2 linked regions of the Arabidopsis thaliana genome follow. The protein of the gene in region 2 interacts with the protein of the main gene of each other region in a biochemical or structural test. Each region holds a gene or a part of one and is shown on either strand. Other genes may lie near its edges. The genes, in order: MPK10 and AT1G48150.

Region 1 (4,436 bases), on a different chromosome or scaffold from region 2:
GAAGAAGAAAAGCAAAAAGAGAAAGGTGCCTTCTAAAAGTTTAGCTTATATCAGATAGTGTGAGGTTTTCTAGCTTATGCTAACATGAACCATGATCGGTTGTGTTATGAATTTGCAGCATTATTCGTCCTCAGAGTCGTCATCTAGCAGTGATGAAGATGAATCTAGAAGATCAAGATCAAGTTCGAAAAGATCAAAGAAGGAGAAGAAGCACAAGTCCAGCAGAGACAAACACTCTAGCAAAAGTAAACACGAAACCGATGGCCCTGTACCACTCTCTAGATTCTTTGGCAATTTGAAGAATTGACAAAAGCAAAACTGCAAATGAACTATTACAAAGAGTAAGATTGTCTTCAATCAAAATACTCAAAGTAGGATATGATTGCTTTCTTCCTTGTTGCAATGTTATATTTTTGACAATAGCTCATGTATTAATATTTGTTGGATTGAAAGTCGCAATGATGCCCACAGAATCATGGTTTTTCAGTTTATTTGCTTAAAAATGAAATTTGACAACATCAAAAGGGAATCTAGCAGAAAATCTTAGCACAACAAAATTTCTGAGAGATGAAAAAATTAAAGGAAATGAAAAGGGAAATTATTCAAAGAAAAGCAGAGAAGGAAAAGAAAAAAACAGAACAAGGATCAAAGATATGGTCCTTTTCAATCATTGCTGGTTTCAGGGTTGAAAGCTAGGGCTTCACAGTAGATTAACTCTCTAAACTGCTCCTCAGAGAATGGATGTTCATCTAAATCGAAATTGAAGGGCTCTGAGCACTCTGGTTCATCGGTAATGTCGTGAAACGAGCTAAGGTATGGATGAGCAAGTGCTTCTTTAACTGCAAAGTGGCAAAACTGATGATAAGAATCCAAATAAAACTGCAGAAGAGGCTATATGGAGACAGAAACTGACCTGAGATTCTCTGTTTAGGATCAAATGTTAGCATCTTCTCCACCAAGTCTATTGCTAAGGGAGGCACGTTCGGGAATTTCTCAGTGAAAGATTGGCGAGGAAGCGTAGGAAGCTGCCTTATGTATCGCTTAGCGTATTCACTCAACGATCCAAGCTCTTCTTCAGATGGAGTGCCAATGAGCTGCAAAACAATGTCCCAAGACTTTTTAAGCTAATCATGAATCACAAAAAACGAATATGATCTTGGCACAACAAAGGGTTTTACTTTACTACCTCCAGAAGCAAACGAAGCTGATTAACTTGATCTTTCCCCGGGAAGAGCGGTTCACGGTTCATTATTTCCATGAAAATACAGCCAACAGACCAAACATCTATTGCTGCGGTATAGTCAGAAGAGCCCAACAGAAGCTCAGGTGCACGGTACCATCTTGTGACAACATACTCAGTCATTAAATTACTCTCAGGAGTTGCACGAGCGAGCCCGAAATCACAAATCTTTAAGTCACATTGTGTACTCAAGAGGAGATTGCTTGGTTTTAGATCTCTGTGTAGCACATTGGCTGAATGAATGTACTTTAATCCGCGCAGGATTTGGTACATGAAATACTGCCAAAAATTTGAAGATTGTGTCAAGCTCACTAATCAAAATGATTTTTAAGTTTCAAGAAACAATAACTCTAAACACACACCATGCCATGATCTTTGGTTAGTTCTTGATCTGATTTTAAGGTTCGATAAAGGTCAAACTCCATCAATTCATTCACAATGTAAACATCTTCGAATGAATCTCTCTGAGGAGGCAAGATTACGTCTCTGATTGCAACAATCTATAGAAAAATGATATTACATAGTTAGCTTTTAATGAATAACAAAATAAAAGAAAAAAGGTGAGACAATAGTTATAAAATCAAACGAACATTCTCATGATCGAAGTGACGAAGAAGCTTGATTTCACGAAGAGTTCTCTTTGCTTCGATAGTGTTATCAAATACTTGCGTTATTTTCTTTATTGCTACCTTCTCATTGGTCTCGGAGTCCACAGCCGAACTGTAAAAAAAGTTAAAAAGAAAAGTAAAAACTAATGTGTCAAGTGAGGAAATTTTAAAAGTAACAAGAATAACATAAAAGTCATGAATGGTATAATAACTGTTTAGAGATCTCTATGATAGAAACGATTTGAACTTTTCTCATAAAAAGATGAAACTTATCAACCCAAACCATAAATTACACACAAAAATGGTCATGGCATCTACATTCTAAAGTGCTCAAAATGATTAGGAAAAGAAATGAAACTATTAATTCTGTTAAAAGGATATTACCAAACGATGCCACAAGCACCTCTGCCAATAGGCCTAATCGGTGGCTTATACTTTGCGGGGAGTTCAAAGATATGCCCAAATAGATTGTACTGGATGTATCTGCCGTCATGGCTGAGAGTCCCCGGAATATCGATAGTCGTCTTGAGGATTTGAGATGACGGCCAAATAGCGGTTGTAACCTCTCCTTGAGTTTCCAATGTCTCAGCATCGTTAGTTGGCTCCATGGTTTTCTTTTTGTCTCACACAACCTCAAACTATTCTGTTGAGAGAAGTGATGTTTTTGCTTTGGTTGGGTTTAGTGGTAGTGAACTAAACTTATATAGAGTGGATATGTGTAAGTATGGATGTTTAAGTCCAGGTCCAGGAGGACCCAGGAGATATGAGTTTTGATATATTTTGATAGTTTTAAGGTAAGTTTTTTTAACTTATAGGAATTCTGCTGTGAATTTCCTTTTCCATATGGAAAAAAAAAAACTAAATAATCTTAATATATTTCCAGCTAATGAATACAAAAAAACTAATTAATTTATGGAAGTGTATAAGTGAGATGATTTTAGGTAAGTTGTTAGAAGAAGATTTTTTGCTTTTCATACACCCTCTTAAATTAAATGCAAACATGGCAATACAATTTGGATACATACTCTTCATATTCATTTCCTAATTTGTGTTCATTTTTGTAAACAATTTTCTGTATTTTCATATACTTTAAATTTAGTATAGAATAATATTTTTTGAAAAATCAATTTACTTGAAATTTTAAAATATATAGATATTTGATATGAAGTTTCTATGTAATCACCATCACTTACAAAGAAACCTCAAAAATATTATTAATAAACATAATTCAAAATAAGTCTTACCATTTATTATTATTATTATTTTGTTATTATAATTTTTTTTAAAAAAAATAATACTATACTAAGTTTGGTAGTTTTTAAATATGTGTATAATTGGTTTTCATTTTTTATTTACAGGTTAATAAAATATTTGTTTCCTTACCTACAAAATATTATCCCTTCTGCTACACTTAGCATGTTTGGGTGATGATGGGATTCGTTTTTAAGTAGATTGCTGGGAATAGCAAAAAAAAAAAAAAAATCTACAACAAATTTATGAGATCTAATTTAGTTAAATGTGTTATATATAATATATTTATAAGAAAAAAATAAAGTTCATAAGATTTAATAACAAAAATGACAGTCCAGCAATCAAATGATAAATCCACTGCATCACCACTTCTGTATTTTATCATTGTTTTCTATTTGTGCTGATAAATAGAAACACCACACACTTCTGCTAATGTCGTTCGTTGATTTATCATTGTCCATTCTGTTTTTCATTTTAAATGATAAAAAATATGCTTACACATTGAAATAATGTAGTAGTGGTCGATAGACATATACAATGTTTAGTTAATCTTGTCAAATTTTCTAAGTTTCTGATTAGTATTCTTTCGTTTAGAAATTAAAACGCTTGCAAATTCACAACTTGCATAAAATTAGTAACTTGCACATACGTCGACGGGAAAATTCACAAGTACAGTAGGGAAATTAGGTAAAGAGTAATATAACGATGCTATATGAAAAGTAAAAATTCAAAGCCACGAAAGTAAGATCAAAACTAGATGGAAATACAGTTTTTTAAAGAGAAGAAACGTTTTCACTCGTCGTCAACTTCATTGATATGGCTTCAGCAGCTGAGTGAAGTGTACGAATACGGTCAATCAAGTTAGCTTTCCTCACATTCAAGGCCAAACAAAACTCGATAGGAAGAATGTAAACAGACACCACTAACAACTGGGAATGTGATGAACTAATTAAAAGGATACAAATCTAACAACAAACCGATACTTTGGAGTGTTGTATTTGTTCTTGTCTTGATTAATAAGACGGATTCTGGCACGATTATCAGTCTTGCCATCTATATTAAGAAAACACGAGAACTGTCACAACAAAATGTTAGCTTTTGATTAAACAAAAAATAAATGTTTCTATCTGTGTAGAATGATTACCTCTTCTTCTCCTGGATTTGACCTGACCCCTGAGTCAAGGATGACGATTGCTTTTTCACTAAACCCTAAGTATGCCACTTTAAGGCCTTCTGTTATTGGGCCTAAAGCCCAAAGTTATTAGGGGAGAAATTGCTGTAATAATTTTACGTGTAACCTATAACTTTTGACCCAATTTAGCTAGTTCTAAATTTGC
Region 2 (3,592 bases):
CAGAAAGCGAAGAAGCAGGAACCTCAGGCCACAACTTCAACCTCTGGAACTTCTTCAAAGTCAGGCAAAGGTGGCAAGAAGAAGAGATAAAACAAGCCAAGCCCTCCCTCTCTCTCATCAGATTTTATGGCTTTTAATCTCTTTAACTTTCTGAGAAGAACACAAAGGTGTTTGCAGGTGTAACAATGTTTCAAATAGAACATCGTCTCTTTCAACCCTAAGCTACTTTGTTTTCACCATTCTACTTCTTCTTTTTGGCATCATCCATTGACATTAGACAAGAAAGAATGCCTAAAAAGGGAACATAAAGATATTGTAATTCACCACAATTAGTCTCACTAACCACAGCCATAACCAAAATCGAAATTACAGAATCAAAAGAGTTGAGATAAAACAGATATCTATAGATCGTTACACACAACAACATAAATGGTAATTACCTAATGAACTAACTAAAACCGTAATTAACTATGAGATCGTGCTTAATCAAGCTGTGAGAACTAACTAAAACATGGGCATTCCATTGCTTCTTCGCTTAAGTATTCACTTATGTCGATCAATAACTCGTCGTCTTCGTTGGTTGAGGAATGATCTTGAAGAGGAACCTCAAGATTGTTGTCGTCCTTAAAAAGACCAAACACGTCGTCGACATCTAGGTTTTCCCAAAAGCTCTGATCCTCCTCTGTGAACATCGGTTGTGTTTGTGTTTCTTGGGGAAGACGCATTCCGTTATTCTCTTCCTCTGTTTCACATAAGAGGCCGTCAACAAATCCAGAATCTTCATTCACCAAGTAACGAGATTGATCAGATGATGACTCGCTGCCAACAGAGAAAACAGGGTTTTGATCAAAACAAGTAGTAACTTGTGACGAAGGCTCAAGTGAGGAGTAAGAGTTCTGATCAAAAGAAACAATTTTTAAGGAAGACGGAGACAAGGTACTAGGGTTTTGACCAAAATCAGAAGCAATTTGAGAAGACGAAGAAGAAGACCCACTGTCGTTGTTAGGGTTTTGATCGGATTTAGAAACAGAGTGTGATTTTTCTTTCTTCTCAAGATAATCCATGAGATGCTTCTTCGTTCTCATCAAACGATCTTCGATGATTCTTAACTCAGACAGATCGTCACAATCACGGTAAAGATCGGGCTCTTCCCACCAAAACTTGGCTGATTCAGGGTTAATAGTAGTCTTGGGAGGAGACTTGTTGTTGAGGTAACAGTCAACAATTTCAGAGGCATGAGAGTAGCCCGAGAATGAATAAACGACATCGGAGTTCTCGTCAGGAGAAGTTACAAAAACGGCTATGTTGGCTCCGGAGAGAAGGCAAAGATCAGCCGCTTTGGAGAAGAGTGTGGGACGGCGTTTGCTGCAAGCGACGGATCGTTGTTGTTTAGTCATGCGTTTCTCAATTTCAATCTTTCTTTTTGTTCCTCTTTTCCTCATTGTGCAATCAGTTACGTTCGACGACTGCATTATTAGGGTTTGTTTTGTGTCTTACAGAGAGAGATAATGGAATCGAGAGAAAAAGAGAGAGTGAAAAGAGAGTAGAGGCAAAGCACAAATATATAGAGATTAGATAATACTAATGTCGGTATTATCATGTGACTCGGTCAAACTTAATTTTTTTAATTTTTACCAAACAAACATTTTCATTAAGATCATCAAGATTATTGCATCTAATCACAACTGTTATCATCAAATATCAACACAAACACTATAAATTCAGAATCAGATTATGCATGAGAGAAGAGAAAAGAAGAAGAAAAACAGGATCGTACTTGGAGAGTAATACAACACAAGCACCCACATCCTCCTTAACCAAAACAACAACAACAATATCAGACAAACAACCATAAACAGTAAGAAGAAAAGATCAAACACAAAAAAAAAGCTCCAACAAAGTTGTTGAAGGGTCAGCAGAGGAGAGCTCAAGCTCGAACCAAAGTGTTTGATGTAATGAAGCAGAGAAGGAAGATGCTGATGGAAGGATCAATGCATGAGAAGGTGCTAGCATTAAAGGCAGACAACAACAAAAAAAATCTAGCCCTCATAAAAAGTTTGCTTCTGGATGCACGAATGGAGATGAAACAAGAAAAGCATATAAGCATAAGGTTCTGAAGTCATCTGATGAGTCAAACATTCACATCGCTGTAGGGGATGGAAATGAGGGACAGGATTGTTGTTTGCTTCATGATGATAGCATCAGAAGTGAAGAAACTATGAAATCCAATGAGCAGTACTCTGAAAAGGGAAACAATGATTTTGGTGAAGGTGATGTTGATAACAATGACAAGACTGATAAGAGATTTCAAGAGCTGAATGTGCTAGCATTGTCGATAGAGGAGCGTATTCTTAAGGCATAAAGAACTGTGGCATGGTTGAACGAAAGGAGAGCCATAAACACACAGAAAAGCAGCTGGTTTGAATTAGGTGTTGTTGTGGACAGATAAAGAAAGGAGAAGGCAAATGCAAGTTGAATATCAAAGTCATATCTTTATGATCTTTTTGGTTCAGTGTCTTTTGATTTTCCTGCTTAGTATCTTTTAAAAACTGGTTTGGTTCCAAATGTTTCATTTGTATCTTTTGAAACCTACTCAGTTATGAGCGACTTAATACCTTCTTGGTGTGTTGCATATCAGAGTTTTCGTACAGAGGATAGCCTGATTCAATCTGTTGATGCGATCTCTTTTGCATACCTGGAGAACTTACTAGACACAAAGGCCAAAGCTTTATGGTAATTCACCACAAGAAAATGTAAATGCTTCTATTGTTACTAATAAGTTTCTGCAATTTGGAATATTTGTTATACTTTTGCGATTACTTTTGGATGCATACGAAGCTTTTGCGTTTTACCTCAGTGACACTGTTAAATTCAAAAATTCCAAACAGTACAGTTAAGTCTTTTGTCAATAACGAAAAATATCTCTGATGAATGGTCTGATAAAAGCCTTTGTGTCAATTCGATCCAACATCTACCCCTTTGTGCTTGAAGAAGTCCTTAGCCTCTGCAATATCCTGCAACCAAAGAAACAGATAAAAGACACTAAATTAGCAAAAATATTGAAGGATGTCAACATTAGATAACACGAATCCGTATAGAGCAGGATGAAAAATAAGAACAAGGCCGACTATGGCAAACAAAGAGCTAGTCTCAAAAGTACCTTCTGCAGCAGAACTGCTTCTTGGGGGCAAGTAGGAAACTGCATGAGCCCGACTCCAACCATTAATAGGCCATAGCATCCGAGGGATACAACAAAGTAGATCGGTAGCTGTAAGACAGACCGGCAATAATACCAAATCAGAACAGAATCCTAATTTCAAAAAAGCAAGAAACCAAAAAAGAGGACAAAATTGTTTGTTACTCACCAACCATGTATGGCTTCGAGGAATAATTGCAGCCTGCAAAAGACCAATCCAGAAGGCAGAGATAGCCACCAACAGGCTCAAGATCTTTACTATATGCTTCATTTGTCCTTTAAAGTAAAAAATTATGTAAAAGAGTTTAAGTTAGCTGCGAATAGAAATGCATAGACGATCACAGCATTCTCCAAGAAGTTGTAGAGCATGTAAAAGAAATCACTCAGCGAGCCTAA

What was found.
Region 1: of the proteins of AT1G48150 (region 2) and MPK10, one has a biochemical effect on the other in vitro, tested with the Arabidopsis thaliana proteins (one large-scale study listed by BioGRID).

The regions. Positions count from the first base shown.
Region 1 is NC_003074.8:22,090,468-22,094,903, reverse strand, and holds MPK10 (MAP kinase 10), read right to left. Parts: upstream 2,505-4,436; 5' UTR 2,457-2,504; coding exon 2,233-2,456; intron 1,961-2,232; coding exon 1,831-1,960; intron 1,741-1,830; coding exon 1,603-1,740; intron 1,520-1,602; coding exon 1,187-1,519; intron 1,095-1,186; coding exon 914-1,094; intron 840-913; coding exon 664-839; 3' UTR 501-663; downstream 1-500. Other genes in the region: AT3G59800 (stress response protein), read left to right, coding at 1-25, 119-307.
Region 2 is NC_003070.9:17,783,277-17,786,868, reverse strand, and holds AT1G48150 (MADS-box transcription factor family protein), read right to left. Parts: upstream 1,473-3,592; coding exon 501-1,472; downstream 1-500. Other genes in the region: AT1G48160 (signal recognition particle 19 kDa protein, putative / SRP19), read left to right, coding at 1-90; AT1G48145 (plant mobile domain protein), read left to right, coding at 1,956-2,003, 2,057-2,362; DPMS3 (dolichol-phosphate mannosyltransferase-like protein), read right to left, coding at 2,955-3,014, 3,161-3,268, 3,366-3,467.